2 linked regions of the Cricetulus griseus genome follow. The protein of the gene in region 1 purifies or fractionates together with the protein of each later gene. This does not show direct contact. Links are inferred from orthologs where the notes say so. Each region holds a gene or a part of one and is shown on either strand. Other genes may lie near its edges.

What was found.
Region 2: the proteins of Mpp5 (region 1) and Amotl2 purify together in Homo sapiens (affinity purification with mass spectrometry; 3 studies listed by BioGRID and IntAct, counting the BioPlex papers as one, with this or other methods). This does not show direct contact. The link is inferred for Cricetulus griseus from reciprocal best matches to the Homo sapiens genes PALS1 and AMOTL2.

What each region holds. Positions count from the first base shown.
Region 1 is NC_048598.1:124,817,376-124,822,536, forward strand, and holds part of Mpp5 (MAGUK p55 subfamily member 5), read right to left. Parts: intron 3,596-5,161; coding exon 3,434-3,595; intron 1,924-3,433; coding exon 1,846-1,923; intron 330-1,845; coding exon 146-329; intron 1-145. UniProt on the Homo sapiens protein: Plays a role in tight junction biogenesis and in the establishment of cell polarity in epithelial cells.
Region 2 is NC_048597.1:210,968,898-210,973,756, reverse strand, and holds part of Amotl2 (angiomotin-like protein 2), read right to left. Parts: intron 3,349-4,859; coding exon 3,053-3,348; intron 2,343-3,052; coding exon 2,032-2,342; intron 1,595-2,031; coding exon 1,380-1,594; intron 924-1,379; coding exon 750-923; intron 49-749; coding exon 1-48. UniProt on the Homo sapiens protein: Regulates the translocation of phosphorylated SRC to peripheral cell-matrix adhesion sites. Required for proper architecture of actin filaments.

The DNA of each region.
Region 1 (5,161 bases):
TTTTCAGTGTGACTAACTTTCATCTTCTCAGATCTTTGCCTTCAAATAAATTAGGGGAGATGCTATGGCCTCTGCTCACTAAGTACATGTCCTACCACTGGGCTGTGCCCTCAGTCCTTCAAACGCTTTCAATCTCGTCTCTTACCTGGAACAAGTCCAGCTAGAGGCTGGTTGTCTTCGTCCCCCTCTCTATAGGCCTGCCACCAATTTGGATCTTCCTGGCTGATCACATGAAGTATATCTCCTTTTTGAAAAGACAGACCTAACTCTCGACATGGAACATAAGGATCATCCGAGGGGTCATAGTCAAAATGAGCTTTTACATGGATCTGAAACATACACAAAGTAAAAATAACAGCAAGAATAAATAAAATGGTAACACAAAATATCTAGCACAAATGTACCTACGTGTTACAGCAGTGCAGGGAAATGAACTAAAAGGACATTTAGCTAAGTAACAACACTTTAGGGTAGGATTTGCTTAAGCTTATCTGTTGACATCTCTGTACTACAAAGAAGAAGAGGACTGTTCAAACTGAGTTACTGTTAACAGCTAACAAAGGTGCATCAAGGGCAAGGTAAGCAGAATAGAAACAGTCTGACCTGTGAAAATAGTGATCCTCAGTAAGGTATGCAGCTTCTAAACTACCACCATTAGAAAAGGCAGACTAATCTCACCAGGTCCCATGTTAAATTTCCTTGGCGTGTCATAGCCCGTGAACTTCATGATGGGTGCAACTGTGCCTTTGCTGCTCTGTGTTTCTTTTTAAAAGTGCATGTAACTAGCACGTTCCACAAGGCTAAATTATCTAAATCAGGATGATCAACTGGGAAAAATATCCTTACTATATATGATCCAAATCTATGCAATACATTTATAGAAAATAAAATGTAAAGGAACTAGAGTTTCTAGAAATGAGGACAATGCTTATGCTGGGTGTGGGGTGGATTACAAGATGAATAATGGCTAAAGGGCATATAAGGTGGGGAGTTTTAGATGCTGATGACATTCTGGTTCTTTAATTGGGTGTTGTTTGCCAATATGGTAAAGATGCTTTGTCCAATTTTCAAGTGAGGTTCTGTTTAAGAGAGTTCCCTAGGGAACCTTCTATTCTTGATATGAAAATAGACATTTGATGTAATTCATAGCGCTACACAGTTTATAGTTTTAGTATATTCAGCGACAGGCTAACCATTGATATTGGTAGACTATTTTTAACTCTCCTGTACTCAATACCAATGAGGGAACATTCATGTTCTCTCCCAATTCCCAAATTGCACATCAAATAATATCTCACTGTACAGACAGATAAACTATACTGTGTTTTCTAATGATTGTGGAAGCTATTTTAAGAAGTTTTGCTGTTGTTTTTAATTTTTTAGGTCTTACAAATAATACCTGCATGAATATTCACATACAAGTTGTACATGAATACATATTTCCAATTCTCTTGGATATATACTTAACGGAACTTGCTGTGTTGTGCAGTAATCAAGTCTATCATTTAATAGAGCTAAGTTAAATATTTAACACGCAGCAATACACTAAAGTAAGGAGTTCCACATATTTGTAAATGTACCTTTCTCTTCTATGTTACTGAGCTAAAGTCACTTATAACTGTAGACAAACATCAATGGTAATAAAAATTCTGAGACTGAAGTATGTTGGATATCTTCTAAAATGTTCAGAGTTTACCAAATTTTAAATGTTGATATCTTATACTTATTTAAATAAAATCACCCAATTTCTCTGTTTTTACTTGAACACACCACACAGTGAAGTTTCTGATACAGAAAAGTAGAAGTCAAGGAACAATAAACAATAAATATTTAAACATTACTTACTACAGTTTCTTTGGCAGGAGGAGATTTGATTTGTTGACTAGGAATCAGAACAAATGTCAAAGTACCATGCATATCAGACTGTAACAGAAAGGTTGAACTATTTTAGAAATATTTATGAAAATCATTCCACAATCTTATGATCAAACTCCCTAAACAGGATGATCTGAGACCTATAGGAAAATGTCTTAAATTCCCAGATTCCTTCCTTATTTAGTCTTTCTGTTCAGTTTGCTGTATCGAGTTGTATGGCTAGATTTGTAATTACTGTCCAATACAGCACTAGCTGTTTTCAGAAATAACCAGCCTAGGCATCAATCATTACAACTTTTATTACTGACAAAACAGGGAACAAACTCAACCTGAGACATCCACCAATAAAATAGGCTACAAGTGATGACTAATGACACTTTGTTCTCCCGGAGCTGATATTTGGTGAAAATAGGGATATGGATATTTTCTAGCTTTATTAATCAGCAAGTAGTAGACATACTACTGTAACACTGACGCTAAATAAGAATATAAACATTGTTGCTGGGAGCACTAACTGATGCTTATAATTGCAGCACTTAAGAGGGCATGGAAAGAGAATCACCAAAAGGTCAGTCTAGGCTACATATTGAGTTTTATTTCAGCCTAGGTTAAGATAAGAATGAGACCTTATCTTCAAAAAGGAAAAGGAAAAATCATAATTTGTACTTCTGTGCAATATGATCAAAAATCATTCTCAAAATACAATTATTTGAGGGTGGTGGCAAATGCCTTTAATCCTAGTACTCAGGAGGTATGGATAGGTGCCTCTCTGAGTTCAAGGCCAGCCTAGCCTACATAGTAAGTTCCAGGACAGCCAGGATTTCATATGAAACCAAGGAAAGAAAGAAGGGGAGGGGGGAGAGGAAGGGAGGAAGGAAAACAAAATGATGGCTCATCAATTAAGAGCACTTGTTCTTAAAAAGAATCTGGGTTTGATTCCTAGCACCCATAGCGTGACTGACAACCATATGTAAGTCCAGCTTTCGGGAATCTACTGCTCTTTTCAGATTTTCTCAGATACTAGGCATGTACATGGAGCATATACATATATGCAGACAAAACACTTATAACAAACAAATCTTAAAAAATTCTTTTTACAAAGGTAATTAGAAGTGAGTACCTGATTATACTAGCACTGCCCAACAGAATTTGCTCAAGAGAAATGTGCTGCGGCTATCTCTCAAGATGACAGCCATTAACTACACAATAAATCTTGTTCAATTGTAGCTAGTGAGAATAAGAAACTGAATTTTAATTTATTTCACCAGGCATGCACAAGGTGTACAGACATGCATAAAATAAAAACAAATCTTTAAAAAAAAATAATAAAAGGAAAAATAAAGTTGTTATAATAAAGCCAAAGTAAATAAAAACAAATGAACCCAAAACCAAAAATAACACAAATTGACAAATGCTCTAAAGTTAGGCTAAAGTATAACTAATACTCATTAGTTATTTCTAAAAAAAAAAAAAAAATACTCTAATATAATCCCTTCTAAGTTTAATAAGAAAGCACATTTTTAAATGAATCTGTTATTATTCTATGGTCTGAACTTACCAACAAGTCGAAAACCTCATTGACATCTTTTCCCCGGATTTCAATGCCATTGATCTCCAGAACTTCATCTCCTTCATGTAAGAGCCCACTCTTCTCTGCTGCACCACCTTTCACTATCCGGCTAATGATGACAGAATCCATTTCATTACGAACTGTGGCACCCTAAAAACACCCAACATGTAATTTAAACATAAAACTGTAATTTCTTGTTAAGTATTTCACTTTTAAATTCTATGTTTTAATCTAATAAGACTAGCCTTTAACTTATCTTGATAATAAATTTACTCTCACTGCTATAGTAATAACTAATTATATGTGAAAGCAATGTACCCCCCCAAATTTCCTGTTTCAGAAACACTTTATTCATTAAACTTCTGAAAACACACAGATTTCTGAAGCACATAATAACAGGAAAAAAACGTATTCAGTGTTTAATGACATAAAATGATAATTGTTTTCTTCTGGATCTTATTCTAATAGCTAGAAAACATCTAGGTATAATTAATAAACACAGTGCCTAACTATAAAGAATTTCTTCTGCTGGGCAGCGGTGGTGCAGTCCTTTAATCCCAGCACTTTTGAGGCAGAGGCAGGTGGATCTCCGTGAGTTCAAGACCAGCCTGGTCTCCAAGAGCTAGTTTCAAGACAGCCTCCAAAGCCACAGAGAAACCCTGTCTCAAAACACCAAAAAAGAAAAAAATTTTCTTAAAATTCAAAATACAATTAAGTGATAAATAGTATTATGGTTAATTATGCAAATGTTAAATATAGCTGTAGCCAGTTCACATTAAAATGTATTAAATACTAATATTTATTATACAAATTGGAAGTGAAAAAGTATATACTCAAATTGGAAGTGAAAAAGTTTATACTCAAAAGCTAGAAATGTAGGATACAAGATAAAACTTATTTTCTGGGGCTCAGGGGTTAACAGCACTTGATGCTCCTTCAAAGGACCTGGGTTTTGTTCCCAGCACCCATATTGGTCAACTTACAAATCCCTGTAAGTCAGGTTCCAGGGGAACCAATTCCTTTTTTTGATGTCTTCATGTACCTGCATGTATGTGGTACACATACGTACACTCAAGCACATATACATAAAAAGCAAATCTTTTAAAAACCACCTAATTTTCTTAATAATTTACTTTAACATTGTCATAACTTCCCTTTTTATTCTCCTGGAAGGAACCAGTTATGTAAACTGCTTATACATTATTTTTTTAAAATATTTTAATACTGTAGTGTGTGTGTGTGTGTGTGTGTGTGTGTGTGTGTGTGTACAGTCATGTGTGCTCTAGAAGTCCCCAATCACTCTCATATTTGGAGACGAGGTCACTAAACCTGGAGCTGACTGGTTTGGTTAGGCTGGGGGCTAGCCAGGCTCCAGAGAAGTCTGCTTGTCTCTGAGAGAGTTGGGATCACATAACATCACCTTGGCTCTTCACAGAGGTGCTGGGGTGCAACCACTGGATCCTCATGTGTACCCAGCACATGCACCAAGCACGCTCCAATGAAGCCATCTACCTAGGTCCCAAAGATTAGATTTTTCTAGCTGTTGTTGTAAAGGGTAAATTGAAAGAAAATTAGTTATCCTCAGTAAGTATTTCATAAGCTGTTATTTTCACTAAATTAGGAGACAAGGTAATAAAATTAATTTTCAGCCAAATAAGGGTTTTGAGCAAGAGCATAGTAGAACTGCAACAAATTGACCCACAAAAGAAAACTCTC
Region 2 (4,859 bases), on another chromosome or scaffold:
TTTCCACCATGTCTGACAGGTCCTGGACTCTGGTAGTAGCCACAGAGTCTGGAGAAAGACAAGACAACAGGTCTATGCTGTGAGTGTTATCCACTTGTTCTATTCAGCTCAACACATTTTAAGTAAGAAAGGATCTTTCTTCATCAGATTCCCTCCCCTAATCTGTCCCAGTCCTCAGATTCCTCTTAACTTGGTCAACTAAGCCCAATGCTCTGCTCCCTCCCGTCGGCTGGGGCCTAGATGGCTCAGGAAGTATGCCTGTGTTTAGACTCTGAACTGGCTAGAGTGATCAGTGGAGGGGTGCCCCCAGGGTTAGAAGCAGGCTGTAGCATTCTTGTCATGCCTGTGGTTTTCTGAGATCATGAGGCGCACACAGGCAGCTATGCAAGGGTAAATGTGAGATCAGACTAGAAGGAAAAAAGGCTTCTTCTCAAGTTCCTCTTTTCTGGGCTCTTCCAATAGCTTCCCAACTCAAGATCACCATCAGGGTCACTTGTCAAGCTCCATGATCTTAGAAATCTGGACCAGCAGGATATGTGAGGAAAACTCTGGAGGAGGCACAGTGCCTTCTGATGAGGCGCTTTCTTTCTCAACTATAGGTCTGCCTCCCATTGAGGGTTTCATGCCTCCAACAACCCTTGGTTCATACCATGGGGCTTCCCATGGAGGATGAGTTTGGAGAAAACACGTGTTCCAGTTCAGCCCCCATCTAATATACGGGTCAGGGGAAGTGGGGGCAGGGTGCTTACCCAGAGAGGCTGTCCTTTGGCTGCTACACCCCAGGAGGCTCTCGGGTTCTGAGGCTAAGCAGGCAGAGGTGCTGTCTGCAGGGCCATCAGTCTGAGTGCTTCCATCTCTGCTCCCGTGCTTGGTGTGGGTAGGGAGAGGAGCTGTGGCCGGGGGCTCCTCTGCCGGTACACGGTCTGTAGGAAAGAAAGGAGGGTGATGGATACAACAGGATATAGAAGACAATGTCCCCGATGAGGAATATCCCAAGCAAACTCAGTACACTGAGCTGCTCCTAGGTTGCAAGATGTCTAGTAAAATAAAAGGGTCCATTTTTGGAATGGGAATAAGTGGGGTCAAGTTAGGCGTCAATGCTTGGCACCCCTTCTTTGTAGTGGAAATCCAGGACTTCTTAGTATTTGCTGAGGAACAGTGGAGACTTGCCTACATCTCTATCTGTAAGCAGCTGGAGGCCCAGCACCCACTAGGAGGCCCCCTGTGGGTTTCAGGGTCATGGGAGCCAAAGGTTAAGCCAGGTTCCCTAGAAGAAGGGCCAGGAAGCCCTGGTTTCAGTAGTCACGTATTCTAAGAGTTTGGTATTGTGCTGTCAAACATTCCCATTCCTCTCCACCCCACTGCAAGCCTCCTCATACCCACTGTCAGCCGGCCAGGTGCATCATTTTGCCGATCGCTGGATGAGAGTCCTTGCCAGCCCTGAATCCCCACTGCAGCCGCAAAGATGGATGGCACAGATTTGGCAGGCCGCAGGGTGCCCTGGGTAGCCTTGCCAGGGTCTTTCCTGGATCGCTGCTGAAGGACCTTGATCACTGCATCCTTCTCTAGGATCTGGGCATGGAGCACCTTCAACCTGTGGGAGGCCACACTGTCAGACTCACGGACTCAGCCCTTGCCTTCTACCCACCTCACAGAAGCTGGGAGGAAACTCAGACATCCCTCTGAGGCAGGTAGGACCTCTTGCCTTTGGGAGGGGGACCCCATATGTCACTAATGCTCTGCAACGGATGTTTCCTGAGCCCACCTCATCGCAAGAGCCAGGCCCCAGTGCTAGTAGCAGGCACGAGAACCCAGAATGGCCAGACCTTGGATGGTACCAACCCACCTCCAGCCTGAGCACGGAAGGGATTCACTGAGGGAACAACTGTTTATAATTTCTGGAATGCCAAACATACTGAGCTGCCAAGGGTGGGGCCCTTTGTCCTAGTCCAGGGACAAAGGACTGAGCAGAGACTGGCTACCACCACCCCACTCCCCCCAGATGCCCCTGCCTGGCCCTATAGTTAGTACCTGCTCTCCATCTCCTGGTGCCTGTGGTTGCCTGCCAGCAGGCCCTCGTTGAAGCTGCTGCTGGGTGAGGGCTGAGGGGAGTGTCTGATGAGAGTAGAGTCGCGCTGTGCGGCTGCGGTAGCGGCGGCATCCATGGCAAATTGCCTCATGGCCCGTTCCTCCAAATACTTCTGCTCCCACTTGGTCATGTCAGCCTCCAGAGCCAGGATCTGTTCTTCCTTCTCCCGCAGTTGTTCTGACAGTCGCAGGGCACTGAGCTCAGTAGACCCACCATTGCTGCCGCCGCCACCAGTGAGGGTGCCTGCCTGTCTCTGTAGAGCAAAGAATATCACGGTCAAGGGTAAAGGCTAGGGTGTGTGGGACTTTGGTCATTATGCTGATGCAAAGACCTTAACACATGCATACCTTGTCCAGTCATCTGCAGCACGCATTTCCCCTTCCTGCTTCCACCCAGGGGTACAGGGGATAACAAAGGTCCTCACATTCTCTCCCAATTTATGGTAGCCAGGGCATAAGGGCACGGATGACTTGACTAGGAAAGCAATCCTCTGAAGTAGGAGCGGGAATATGAGTGATAACCACACCGAACAAGTAAGTTTTGGTCCCTGTCATTCTATGACAGGGTAAGGTTGGGTGTGGACACAGAACTCTACCTGGTTTGTAAACAACAAAAATATTTACGTCCAAATACATAGCAAGAATAGACTCGGGGCTCAGACATCTACTTCCTATCTTGGGGAGATAGATCAGAGTGCTCCAGTCTTCTGCATGAACATTCTTAGCGACTACTTTCCGGTACTGAGGTCCCAGTTTCTGTTCCTGCCATGGTAAGACTCATCAAGTCCTCCAAACCTGAACACAGACCACATGGCAGAGCCTTTGCTGTGCAAGATGAATGGGAAGGACCAAGCAGCCAAGGGGGACATGGAGCATCATCTCTCCCAGGGGACAAAGACCAGAGATCAGGGATTCCTTGGATTCTGCCCAGCTCTGGCAGCTACACAGGTCTTCTTGGGCTCACCTGCTGTGCACGGAGGGCTTTGAGTTCCTGCTCCAGGCGCGTGCGCAGACGCAGCTCCAGCTGCTCCCGCTTCTCACAGGCAGCCTGTAGCTGTCCCAGCGCCTGCTGCAGCCGCTCCACTTTCTCCACGTAGGCCTGCTTCTTGCGTAGCTCCTCTTCAGCCCTGGCAGCACGGCTTTGTGCATTGCCCAGCGCCTGCTCCAGCAGTTCTGCTCGTCGCCGCTGGTCCTCGATGGCGCCCCGCAGCAGCGCCATCTCCCGCTCCAGCTTCTCCTGCTCCTGCTGCTGTTCATAGCCTGTGGAGGAGACAACGAGGAGTAGTGATGAGTGATGGTCGCCACACTCACCCACTACTGGGCTCTGTACCGACAACTGCTGTTCACTCTCTTGACACGCCTGGGAGTTGTGTGTTGCAGTGAGATGCAGGTTAAGAGCAAACGGCAGATAACTGAACTAAATGGCCTCTCAGCTGGGACACTGCTTGAATGGTGCCAGGCATGGCCATCACCGAAACATATGCAGTTTTCCTTAAGCTTTATAAGGACTAGAGACTGGTCAGGCGGGAACCGAGCCAACCTTTTATAGATTAGGGTACTATAACAAGGTCATTGTTCAAGCAGGAAGAAGGGGGCAGGCACTTTTCATGTCTTATCCCACTCAATCTCCCAGGTAGGATTTGTGGTTCTTGATTTACAGAGGAAGAAACAAAGGAGCCAAATGGCTGCCTGAGAAGCTCTAGCTATCTGGCTGTGTGTGCAGTTCTTGGCCCCAAGTGTGGGCTCTGGAGCACAGCCTGCAGACTGGAGCCTCTCCTGTTCAGTACCCCTGTCTTCACATGGTTCGGGGACCCACATGTAGGTACACATGCTCACAACAGAATTCTAACCCTGTAGCACAACAGCAATGACGCTAGTCCAAAGACTGGCAACCAAGATTCCAGCGATCTCTGACCACTTTGCTAATTGCTTGGAGGAGCTCTGCTCAGAGAATGTCTCCATCTAGCTGGGCCAAGGACAGAGCACAGACTTCTCTAAGTGATGTTCTAGGCCTACAACCCACCTCAAAGCACTTGTCCTTTGAGAGTCTCAGGCTGTTCAACTAAGAGTGGCTTCCTATTTCTCTGGAGACCAGAAGTACAACGTCTAAGATACCTTGGTAGGGAGTGGGTGGCTAAGCCTGCTTAGCAGGCGCCCCATATTCAGGATCCAGTCACCCTTTGTGTTCACCCTCTCTCCTCCCAAAGCCAGGCTGGGCGCCGCCGGGGCCGAAGGGCGCCACTGTCAGGCGCACATGGGAGGGAACAGAGGGGGGCCGGCCGGGAGCGGAACAGCCCAGAGGCTCTGGAATGCCAGGCATCCAGGTCACCCGCGGCTGCGAGATTAATGGCTCCAGCAAGAAGCCAAGAACAGCCTGGCGCTAGCTCGCTCCCCGGGGAGCGGAAACGCCTCCCGGCTGCTTCTGCCCCCCTCCCCCTCTGCAGGCTTCCAGAAACCCTCCCTAAGACTTCCTTTCTTTGCCAAAGCCTGGGCCCAAAAGCCGCCCTTCCTACCAGAGCACCCCCATTCTCCCTTCCCCTAGCAGTCGGTCCTCTGCAGACTCCCAAGGGCAACCTAGGCGACACACCTCCTTCCCCCCTCACCTCCGTTCCAGAGACCTTTAGCCACTGTCACCTCATTTTGAAAGGTAGTGGATAGCTCAAGTCTTGCCCAACCTGGGCCCATTTCCTGCCAAAGGCTGATTAGCAAGCTCTCGAGGGCCCTAAGTCCTTGAAGCAAGAAGAGGACACTGCCAGCAGAAGCTGTCCTCC